Oryctolagus cuniculus: one gene and its partner. The protein of the gene in region 1 purifies or fractionates together with the protein of each later gene. This does not show direct contact. Links are inferred from orthologs where the notes say so. Each region holds a gene or a part of one and is shown on either strand. Other genes may lie near its edges.

Region 1 (4,557 bases):
TAAAATCATGTTGCAAATTAAAAAAAAAAAAATGCCCACAAACATCTGCTCCTTCTGCCAGTCATTTGAGCCATCAAAATTTGCTCTAAAAATATTTTCTCAGTAACAGAGACGGCAAAGTTATTCACAACAGCCATAAAGATTTAGCAGTAACAGTCATTTTATTGTTTTATTTAAAATATGTATTTGAGAGAAGGAGGGAGAAAGAGAATGAGAGAGAGCAAGTGTTTCCATTTGCTGGGTCACTGTTTGAAGGCTTGCCAACAGCTGAAGTTGGGGCAGGGCTGCGGTTAGGCGCTGGGGACTCAACCTAGTCTCCCATGTGAGTGGCAAGGACTCAATAATAATTTGAGGCAGCCTCTACTGCCTTCCAGGGTCCACACTGATGGGAGGTTAGAACTGGGATCTGGAGCCACACATTAAACTCAGGCACTGCAATGGTAGATGGGGCCTTCTTAACTGCTAAGTCAAATGCCCGCTCTCAACTAAGAATTTTAGGGGCCACCATTTTGGTGCAGCAGAGTAAGCTGCCAGGAGCAAAACTGGTATCCCATATCGGAGTGCCACATGGGAAACCTGGATGGAGTTCCAGGCTCCTGGTTTCCACCTGACCAGCCTGGGCTGCTGTGGCCACTTGAGGACTGAGCCAGCAGATGGAAAATCTTACACTGCCATTCACGTGAATAACTACATGTTTTTAAATGATAATTTAAAAATACACCAGGGAAAAACGCTCAGGATGTCAAGCTCCTGATGATGCATGACAGAATTTTTTTTTTAAATTTCAACAGTTCTTGATTACACTTTAGGAAATAAAATCATTTAATTATTTCATGTGTTAGTTTTTAAAATGATCACCCAGAGGGATTCCATGAGTCTTAATTATGGGTGTTCTTCCTCTAATCTCAGAATGTATACTTCACATCTCTTGAGATAAGAACCAAACAAACAAAAGAAATGCTAAAATTCATAGCAAAAGGGCTAACAGTATAATGAATGGGGCTTACTTAGAAGGTACTTGATATGAAAATGGTTAAATGGCAGCTCAAAAAACGCAGGAAAAAGATGGCTGGTATAGCTCAGTGCCAACATTATAGTCAGGAGGAGCCCTTACCAAGAACGACGATTTAAAGCACCAGTAGCAACGGTAGTTATAACAACATTACAGTGCTCAAGAGCTGCCTGTATGAATAACCAAAATTCAAAGCTCCACTAGTAACAATATTTATACTGATGTTTTATTAAACACCTTACTTGCTACTTTAAGTGTAAAAATTACTAACAAAAACATACTAAGGAAAAAAATCAGAAAGCACTATCTAGAAGTTAACTTCTCAGAAATTGAAGATGTTTAAAAGGAAAAACGACAACAAAGTCATTTTAAAATCTTTTAAGAGATTAAGAAGCACTTAAGGTCCTACCAGGTAGTACCTTCCCATTTAGAATAACCTCTAAATTGCTAGAAACTGAGGTCTGCTCTTCCTTGCATCCCAAAATACGACCCTGGCACACCACTTCCTGGGTTGCCAGGTTTTTAGGGTCCTGTTAAAGCCTGGGAGGACCCTCAAGAGCTCACCTGTTCCTAGTGCATGCCTAAGGGTAGCACATTATTATTCTCATGTTAGAGACCAGGACTTAGCTGGGTCCTTCGAGGTTACAGAGTTCACAAGTGCAGGCTAGAATCCCAGTTCACCACCTGTTGGAGAACTTCTCTTCCCGCTCAAAAGCCAAGCCAGCTTCTCCAGAATGTACCATGGAGAGAGACAGCGGGGCATGAGGACGGCTTAGGCTGACCGGCTCCGAAGCTGGGAACTACAAGGCTCTCCAACGGATCCGTCTGCTTCCTCGACCCCAATTCCTTCAGCCCCTGCAGCTTTCCCACTGCTCTGCTCACTCGGCCCGGCATGACGACCCTCTCACTTTAATGCCAGCCTCCCCGTGGTTCCTTGCAGGCTCCGTTTTTCGGTTCAGTAGGGCACAGCGACTCACCTCTTAAATCTCTGCCTGGCAGTCACCGCCGGGCGCCCCCTTCCCTCTCTAGCACCCGGCGACACTGCTTCCGCTCACAGCCCCCTTCTCCCCCTCAAACTCACTCCGCCCCCCAAACGCCGTCTTTGGCACTGCATCCAACTCCCACTCCTCCGGGCGAATTTAGCTTTATGGAGCCTTTGGATCTAAAGCCCCTCACGGGGATCACGCACAGCTCTCCCCCCGACCCATTAGCCTGTCCCACGCTACCAACTCACGGCCGTCCCGCGGCGATGCCCTCTCGCCACTCCCTCATCTGGCAAAGCCGCTTCTCCTACCGCCCCCTCAGTGCCCACCCTGCCGCTTCCCAGCGAAGGCTGACGCTCCAACCCCGGGCCCGCGGGTGCCAGTTCCTCACCCGGCGATCACGGCCCCGATGAAGTACAGCAGCAACAGGCAGAAGGTGCCCAGGTTCTGCGGGGCCATGGTTCCTCCACGCCGGACCCTGGCCCAAGCACTCCTCACAGCTTCCTCTGCCGCCGCGTCTGCTCACCAGCCCACGCGGCCCTGTGAGGCCGTCTTACGCCGGGGGCCCTCTCGCTCGGCCCGCAGAGACAGCTGGCTTGCCCCCCTCCCGGCCAGACCACTTCCCGGGAGTCCGAGTCCCGGCGAGAGAAGCCCCCAGCAAGCGAGAGCCAATCACTGGCCAGGACATCACACGCGGCCGGCACCTCAGGGCCAATCAGCACAGTACACTTCACCTCCGAGGCGGTGCGCGCAGCCAGTTACGCTTCAGAACTGCAGCCTCAGCTCCCGGCCAATTAGAAGAGGAGACGTCAGAGGACCGCGCCGCCGCAGGAGGCTCCCCGGTCTCCCCGGGGTCGTAGAAATCACGTAAAAGGCGGAGGGTGGGACCTAGAGAGGGCACCTGCGATACAGGACCCAATCGCCCGCCTCCTCGGACTTCCCACCAATCACGAGGCTCCTCCAGCAGCACCGGCCAATTGTGGGAGGGAGATTTTATCTCGGTTCGAACTCTTGGAATTTCATTCATAGGGAACTCCGCGCTGCAGGCCTGAGCTGAGGGACTGCGGCGGAATGGGCGGGGACGAGGACTCCAAGCCAACAGTACACAGGACTCGCTGCTTAGCAGATCTTACTGTAGGTTCTCATAACAACCCCGGAAATCGTCTCGGTTGCATAGACAAGAGGCATAGGACAGAGCAGCGGCCGTGGAGACAGACCGACTTAATTTAAGCTTGGATTCGTCTTCCATTACGCCGTAGTGGTGAGACACCCCCGCCCCAGTCTGAGCCTAAGTCTCTTAATTAACACAGCGGAGACAAAACACATACTGGCAGTGTTGGAAATTTTAACGGGAAATGTTTTTGTAAGACGTCTAGCACGCAACCAATAAAAACTTAGTACAGTCTTAGGGAGAATTCTTTGCCTTCCCCGCCTTCCTCCCAGTTTTGGTCATCACAATAAACGCACCACCTTGTTCAGGAAAAACAGAAACAGAAGCACCGGCAGGGTGCCGTCCTTGATCCCTTTCTTGCATAACTGATCCAGACTTTGAACCTGTCCGTCCGCTCCTCTGCATCTCCATGAATACGCCTCCGGGCCCACTCTGTATCTCTCACGTGGCAGGGCCTCCTAACAAGTCTCCTTGCAGCCACTCTATTTGCACCCAAATGGCTGTGGCCCAGGATGGGCCAGGCCCGAGCCAGGAACCTGGAACTCCATCAGGGTTTCCCACGAGGATGCAGGAGCTCAAACACTTGGGCTATCTTCTGCTGCTTTCCCAGGCACGCTAGCAGGAAGCTGGATTGGCCTGGCGCCCGTATGGGTTGCTGGTGTCGCAGGCCTCGGTTTAACCCACTGCACCACAACACCGGCCTCCCTCTGTTCTTAGTTTCTTAATACCTGTTTTTACCCCGTCTCACTCCATGTTTTTAAAAATCATGTCAAGTCATGTCATTAACCTGCTTAAAATTCTTGAATGGCTTTTTATTGCGCTTCAAACGAAACCCTAACTCTATTCTGGTTTACAATCCTTATATGATCTGTACCTTACCTATTATACTCTTTACTTTATCCCCACAAAACTGGCTTCCTTTTTCTTTTTGAACACACCAAGAACATTAGTACTTTTATACTGGCTCTTCCCTCTATCTGAAATACCCTTCACCGTGACCTTAACTTGGGTAACTCCGCTTAAAAATTTGGATATTAGCCACCTAAGGCTGCCCTGATCAACCAATTAAAATTAGTCCTTACTGAGTTCCTTACTCTTACATTGCTCCTTTTTTTTTTTTCCTTTTTAAAGATTTATTTACTTGAAAGTCAGAGTTAAACAAAGGGAGAAGGAGAGGCAGAGAGAGAGAGAGAGAGAGGACTTCCATCCACTGGTTCACTCCCTAGATGACCCCAACAGCTGGAGCTGTGCCAATCTGAAGCCAGGAGCTTCCTCTGGGTCTCCCACGTGGGTGCAGGGGCCCAAGCACTTGAGCCATCTTCTACTGCTTTCCCAGGCCACAGCAGAGAGCTGGATCAGAAGTGGAGCAGCCGGGACTCAAACTGGAATCC
Region 2 (4,333 bases), on another chromosome or scaffold:
GGAGACCTGGAAGAAGCTCCTGGCTCCTGGCTTCAGATGGGCGCAGCTCCGGCTGTTGCGGCCAATTGGGAAGTGAACCAGCAGATGGAAGACCTTTTATCTCTCTCTCTGCCTCTCCTATCTGTGTAACTCTGAATTTCAAATAAATAAATATATCTTAAAAAAATAAAAGACTTCATGGAAAGCAAAATTAAAAGATTATTTTTATGCAAAAAAATTAAAATCCATGCAAAAATACAAGCTATCAATTAATAATTGTTAGCTAATTTGCATTGAGCCAGGTATCACACATTGATTCAAGCTCTTCATTTGAATATTCTTTAAAAAATTTACTCATTTCTTTGTTTGAAAGGCAGAATACTCAACAGCCAAGGCTAAGCCAGGGCAAAGCCTGGAGTCAAGAATTCTATCTGGGCTTCCCACATGAGTGGCAGTAACCCAAGTATTCAAGCTATCATCTGCTGCCTCCCAGGCTTATTAGCAGGAAGCTGGATCAGAAACGAGACATCCAGAACTTGAACCAGGCACTCTAACATGAGATGCAAGCATCCCAACCAGCAGCTTAATCCACTGAACAAAATGCTCATCCTTGTTTTAATGCCATCTATTGAGGTAGGGTTCCATACCTGGTCCTCATCTACTTACTTCTATGAGTACTTCTTAGATATTTATTAGGAGTCACAACAAAAGTATTTGTGTATGTAGGTTTTTCAAAAAGATGTATTTATTTATTTGAAAGGCAGAGTTATAGGGAGAGGGGGAAAGAGAGCGATCTTCCATCTGCTGGTTCACTCCCCAAATGGCTGCTGGAGCCAGGAGCCTGGAACTCCATGCAGGTCTACTATGAAGGTGGCAGGGACCCAAGCTCTTGGACCATCTTCTGCTGCCTTCCCAGGTGCATTAGCAGGGAACTACATTGGAAGTGGAGCAGCAGGGACTAAAACTGGTGTTCTTATGGGATACAGGACCTGCAGACAGCGGCTTAACCCACCGTGCCACAAAGCTGGCCCTGCATTTTTTTTTTTTTTTTTTTAAAGATTTATTTGAAAGGCAGAGTTACAGAGAGGAGAGAGATAGATCGTCCATTTGCTGGCTGGGGCTATATCCAGGAGCTCCATCTGGGTTCCCCATGTGGTTACAGGGGCCCAAGGGCCCACTGCTTTCCAGGCACATTAGCAGGAAAACTGTCAGAAGTGGAGCAGCCAGGGCTCACACCAGCGCCCATATGGGAGGCCAGTGTTGCAGGCAGCAGCTTAACCCATTACACCACAATACTGGCCCCCACAAGTTTCTCAAGTGATTCCAACTGACCCTAGATCAAGAATCACAGTTCATTCTGAACAATTCCATCTCTAATTGTCTTGCACTTAACTTTCTCAGGCTCAGCACAGCTATTCTGAGTTCCAGACTGAACCTGGTTCCCAAATCTGGCTGCCCATCAGAACCACTTTAGTTTTTGAGACCTACAGAGTCTCAGTGCTAAGCCTCCTTCCAGTTCTATTCTAATTCAGTAGATCCAAAGTAGGAAACAAGGTCGAATGAAAAAGAAAGCAGCTTGACACAAGTATGTTAATGGTCACTAGAATTAAAACATCCCAATGATAACTTAGTTCCTTTCCCAGTGTAACTGGTCCAACAGGTTTTGGGACTCAGGCACCACCTGGCCCATCTGAGAGACCTCATCAGTTATCCCAGTTTTTTCTTAGATCCCGCCTTCATCTTGCTTCCTTCTCTCTTTTCTTGTCTGTGTTTATTGTCTTGTAACTTGCTTGACGGATTCACTACTGCATCTCCCGTATCTAGAAAAACACCAGGCACACAGCAGCAACTCATTAAATCTATGCTGAGGGGCCCACATTGTAGCCTAGCAGGTTAGGCCACCACCTCCATACAATCCAGAAACACCTGGGCAAGGAGGGGGAGTGATGACCCAGCAGGAGGCCTTGATGAGGCTGTTGGGCCCTAGCTTGTTGAAGGTATTTGGGGAGTTAACTAGCAGATGGAAATCTCTCTCCCTCTCTCTCTGCATCTCTGCCTTTCAAATAAATAAATAAACCTTAAAAAAGAAAAATCTACGCTGAATGATTGAACCCCAAGTATTTTAATTTCAAAAAGGTAAAAAAGAAGTCTCCTCTGCAATACCTGTGACTGCTGTAGTTTAAGTTCTTTGCCAGATCTAGGTTAAGGTTTGATTTAAGAGGTGACAAAAGATACGAAGTGAAGAACAAGATGTAAAAGAGCTGGTATACAGAGGGGTGTGGACTCTGAGCTTAAGAATTCAGAGAGGCACCACTTACTGAGATTTTCTACACGCCTTTCTCTCCCGCAGCAGCTTAAAGACTAAACAGATTAGACAGAACCCCGTCTCCCAGTCACCAGTTGCAAGGCTGTCAGCAAGCCACTTCATTTGTTTTCTCGTTTATAAAATATGAGGATACTAAGAGTACCTACTTCACAAAAACGTTAAAGATGGGCGCACTGCCTAGTTCGCTAGGGAGAACCTCAGCTGCCCTGCTCCAGCCCTCAGGAACCTCCCCAGAGCGCCCCCAACCTTCGCAGGCCCCGCCCCCGGCCCACCCGAACCGGGTCGCCCGCAGTACCTGATCCGTAGCGCACGTCGTGGGAGTGCAGCCGCACGTTGTGACGCGTGTTGAGTAGCTTCACCACAGAACCGCAAGTAACCACAGCCAGATTGGAGGCTCCCACAGCGCTCCACAAACCCCCGAACACCAGCAGCGACGCGACAGCCATCCTCGCCGGACCGCGCAGCCCCTATTGAGGAAACCCCGGTACCTCCCCGGAACCGGAAGCTGGGGGAGGAACCACAGAGAGAAGGAAGTGAAGAAGCCCTAGGCTGGTCTTTATGGTGCCTTTGGCTAGAGCGGCCTGCGGAACGCTCTGGGCGTGGTTACTTCCAACTCTCGCTCTGTCTCGGCGGCTGTGTGATAGCTACCTTCCTGAACCGATTCCGACAGCCCTCGCGCCCCGGGGACGAAACTCCCGGGAACGGTGGGAGTAGAGAGCGAGACACAGCCCGCCCACTCCCGGTGACAGGGAGCCGGAAGTGACGCAGCACGTTGACGCAGCGGCGGCGGCGGCGGCGGCGGCGGAGGCGGAGGGGCCGTGCGGTGGGTCCGGACTATCCTTTCCCAGTCTCGGTTCGCCGACTCCATTTTCCTCAGCGGGGGCTTAGCGCACCGGAGAAGCGGCGGCCGTCGGACAGGTAAAGTTCGGCGTGGAGCGCGTGTTTCTCGCTCTAGGTCAGGAGGGAACCAGGCTGCTAGGGCCTGGTCCCTTAAGAGAGGAGGCACTGGGGAGCCGTCTGCGGGAAGAAGGGGGCCCCGGCCTTCCCTGCTCTCTGAGGGGGAGGGGGCAGGAAAGCAGGGGAGTTGGGGAGTCTCAAGGCCTTTCCCAGCCCGGTGGCACCCAGAACCCGTGAACCAGCTGGTCTGGTGAATCAACAGGCTTTGCTGGGATCCGGTCCTTCTCCCAGCAGCTTCCGAAAACTGGGCCACGCCAAAGGGTTGGGAGGAAGGGACCCGGGCTTCTCAGCCTGATCAGGTCTGAGGATGCGAATCGTGTGGCGCTTTCGGCAGCTCGGCCATTAGGCTAGAGGGCTATGCCCAATTCCAGCTCTTTCCATATTGTTGAGTAACACAATTAGAACTTTTGGTAGATGGTCACATCCTTCAGCCCTTACTAAAGATCAAAGGTCTTGTTGAGGTGCGGTTCATTTTCCGTAGATTTTTTTTTCAAACATTGCCGAACGTCTGTCATGCACATCAGAAAAGGTTAAATCAAAACTTTATTTGCTGCCGGTTTCTGCCTTTCTAGGCGCTCGCTTGAATCGACTGGAGCCGTTCATTTCCCTTTTTGCAAGAACTGACGCTTATTTTTCTTTGGGAGATGGCCTAAAGTCTTCAAAAATACTTTGATGAAAATTCACTGTAATATTGGAAGCAATAAGGGAATATTAAGCTACAGTGCTGTTAACAGACATGGAGAATGTAGACAGTATTGGGTTTGATTAATTTCCTGGGAAAAAAGCCTAGTTCCACTGTTGGTCTGAAGGTTACCAGTGTGTAAGTCCTGAGCATTTTGATTACAAGCGCGTGATTGCTCTCCTGTCAGTTGTGAGTTTAGGGTTTCTTTCTAAACTCCATCCCTTCTACCAGTACAAGTCCGTTTATATTCAGTTGGCTTGCTGGATTAGTTTATCATGGCAGCATTACTCTAAGACGTCTTAAACTCATCAAACAATTAATCCTGTCAGCGCGTGGTGAGGTCTGGAGAGGCTCTGTCACATTTTGCATTTACATTTACTCCGAAGGCC

Evidence for each region.
Region 2: the proteins of DNAJB11 (region 1) and SDF2 purify together in Homo sapiens (affinity purification with mass spectrometry; 3 studies listed by BioGRID and IntAct, counting the BioPlex papers as one, with this or other methods). This does not show direct contact. The link is inferred for Oryctolagus cuniculus from reciprocal best matches to the Homo sapiens genes DNAJB11 and SDF2.

Annotation. Positions count from the first base shown.
Region 1 is NC_091435.1:96,285,250-96,289,806, reverse strand, and holds the start of DNAJB11 (dnaJ homolog subfamily B member 11), read right to left. Parts: upstream 2,802-4,557; 5' UTR 2,455-2,801; coding exon 2,387-2,454; intron 1-2,386. UniProt on the Homo sapiens protein: As a co-chaperone for HSPA5 it is required for proper folding, trafficking or degradation of proteins.
Region 2 is NC_091448.1:44,160,454-44,164,786, forward strand, and holds the start of SDF2 (stromal cell-derived factor 2), read right to left. Parts: upstream 2,813-4,333; 5' UTR 2,752-2,812; coding exon 2,601-2,751; intron 1-2,600.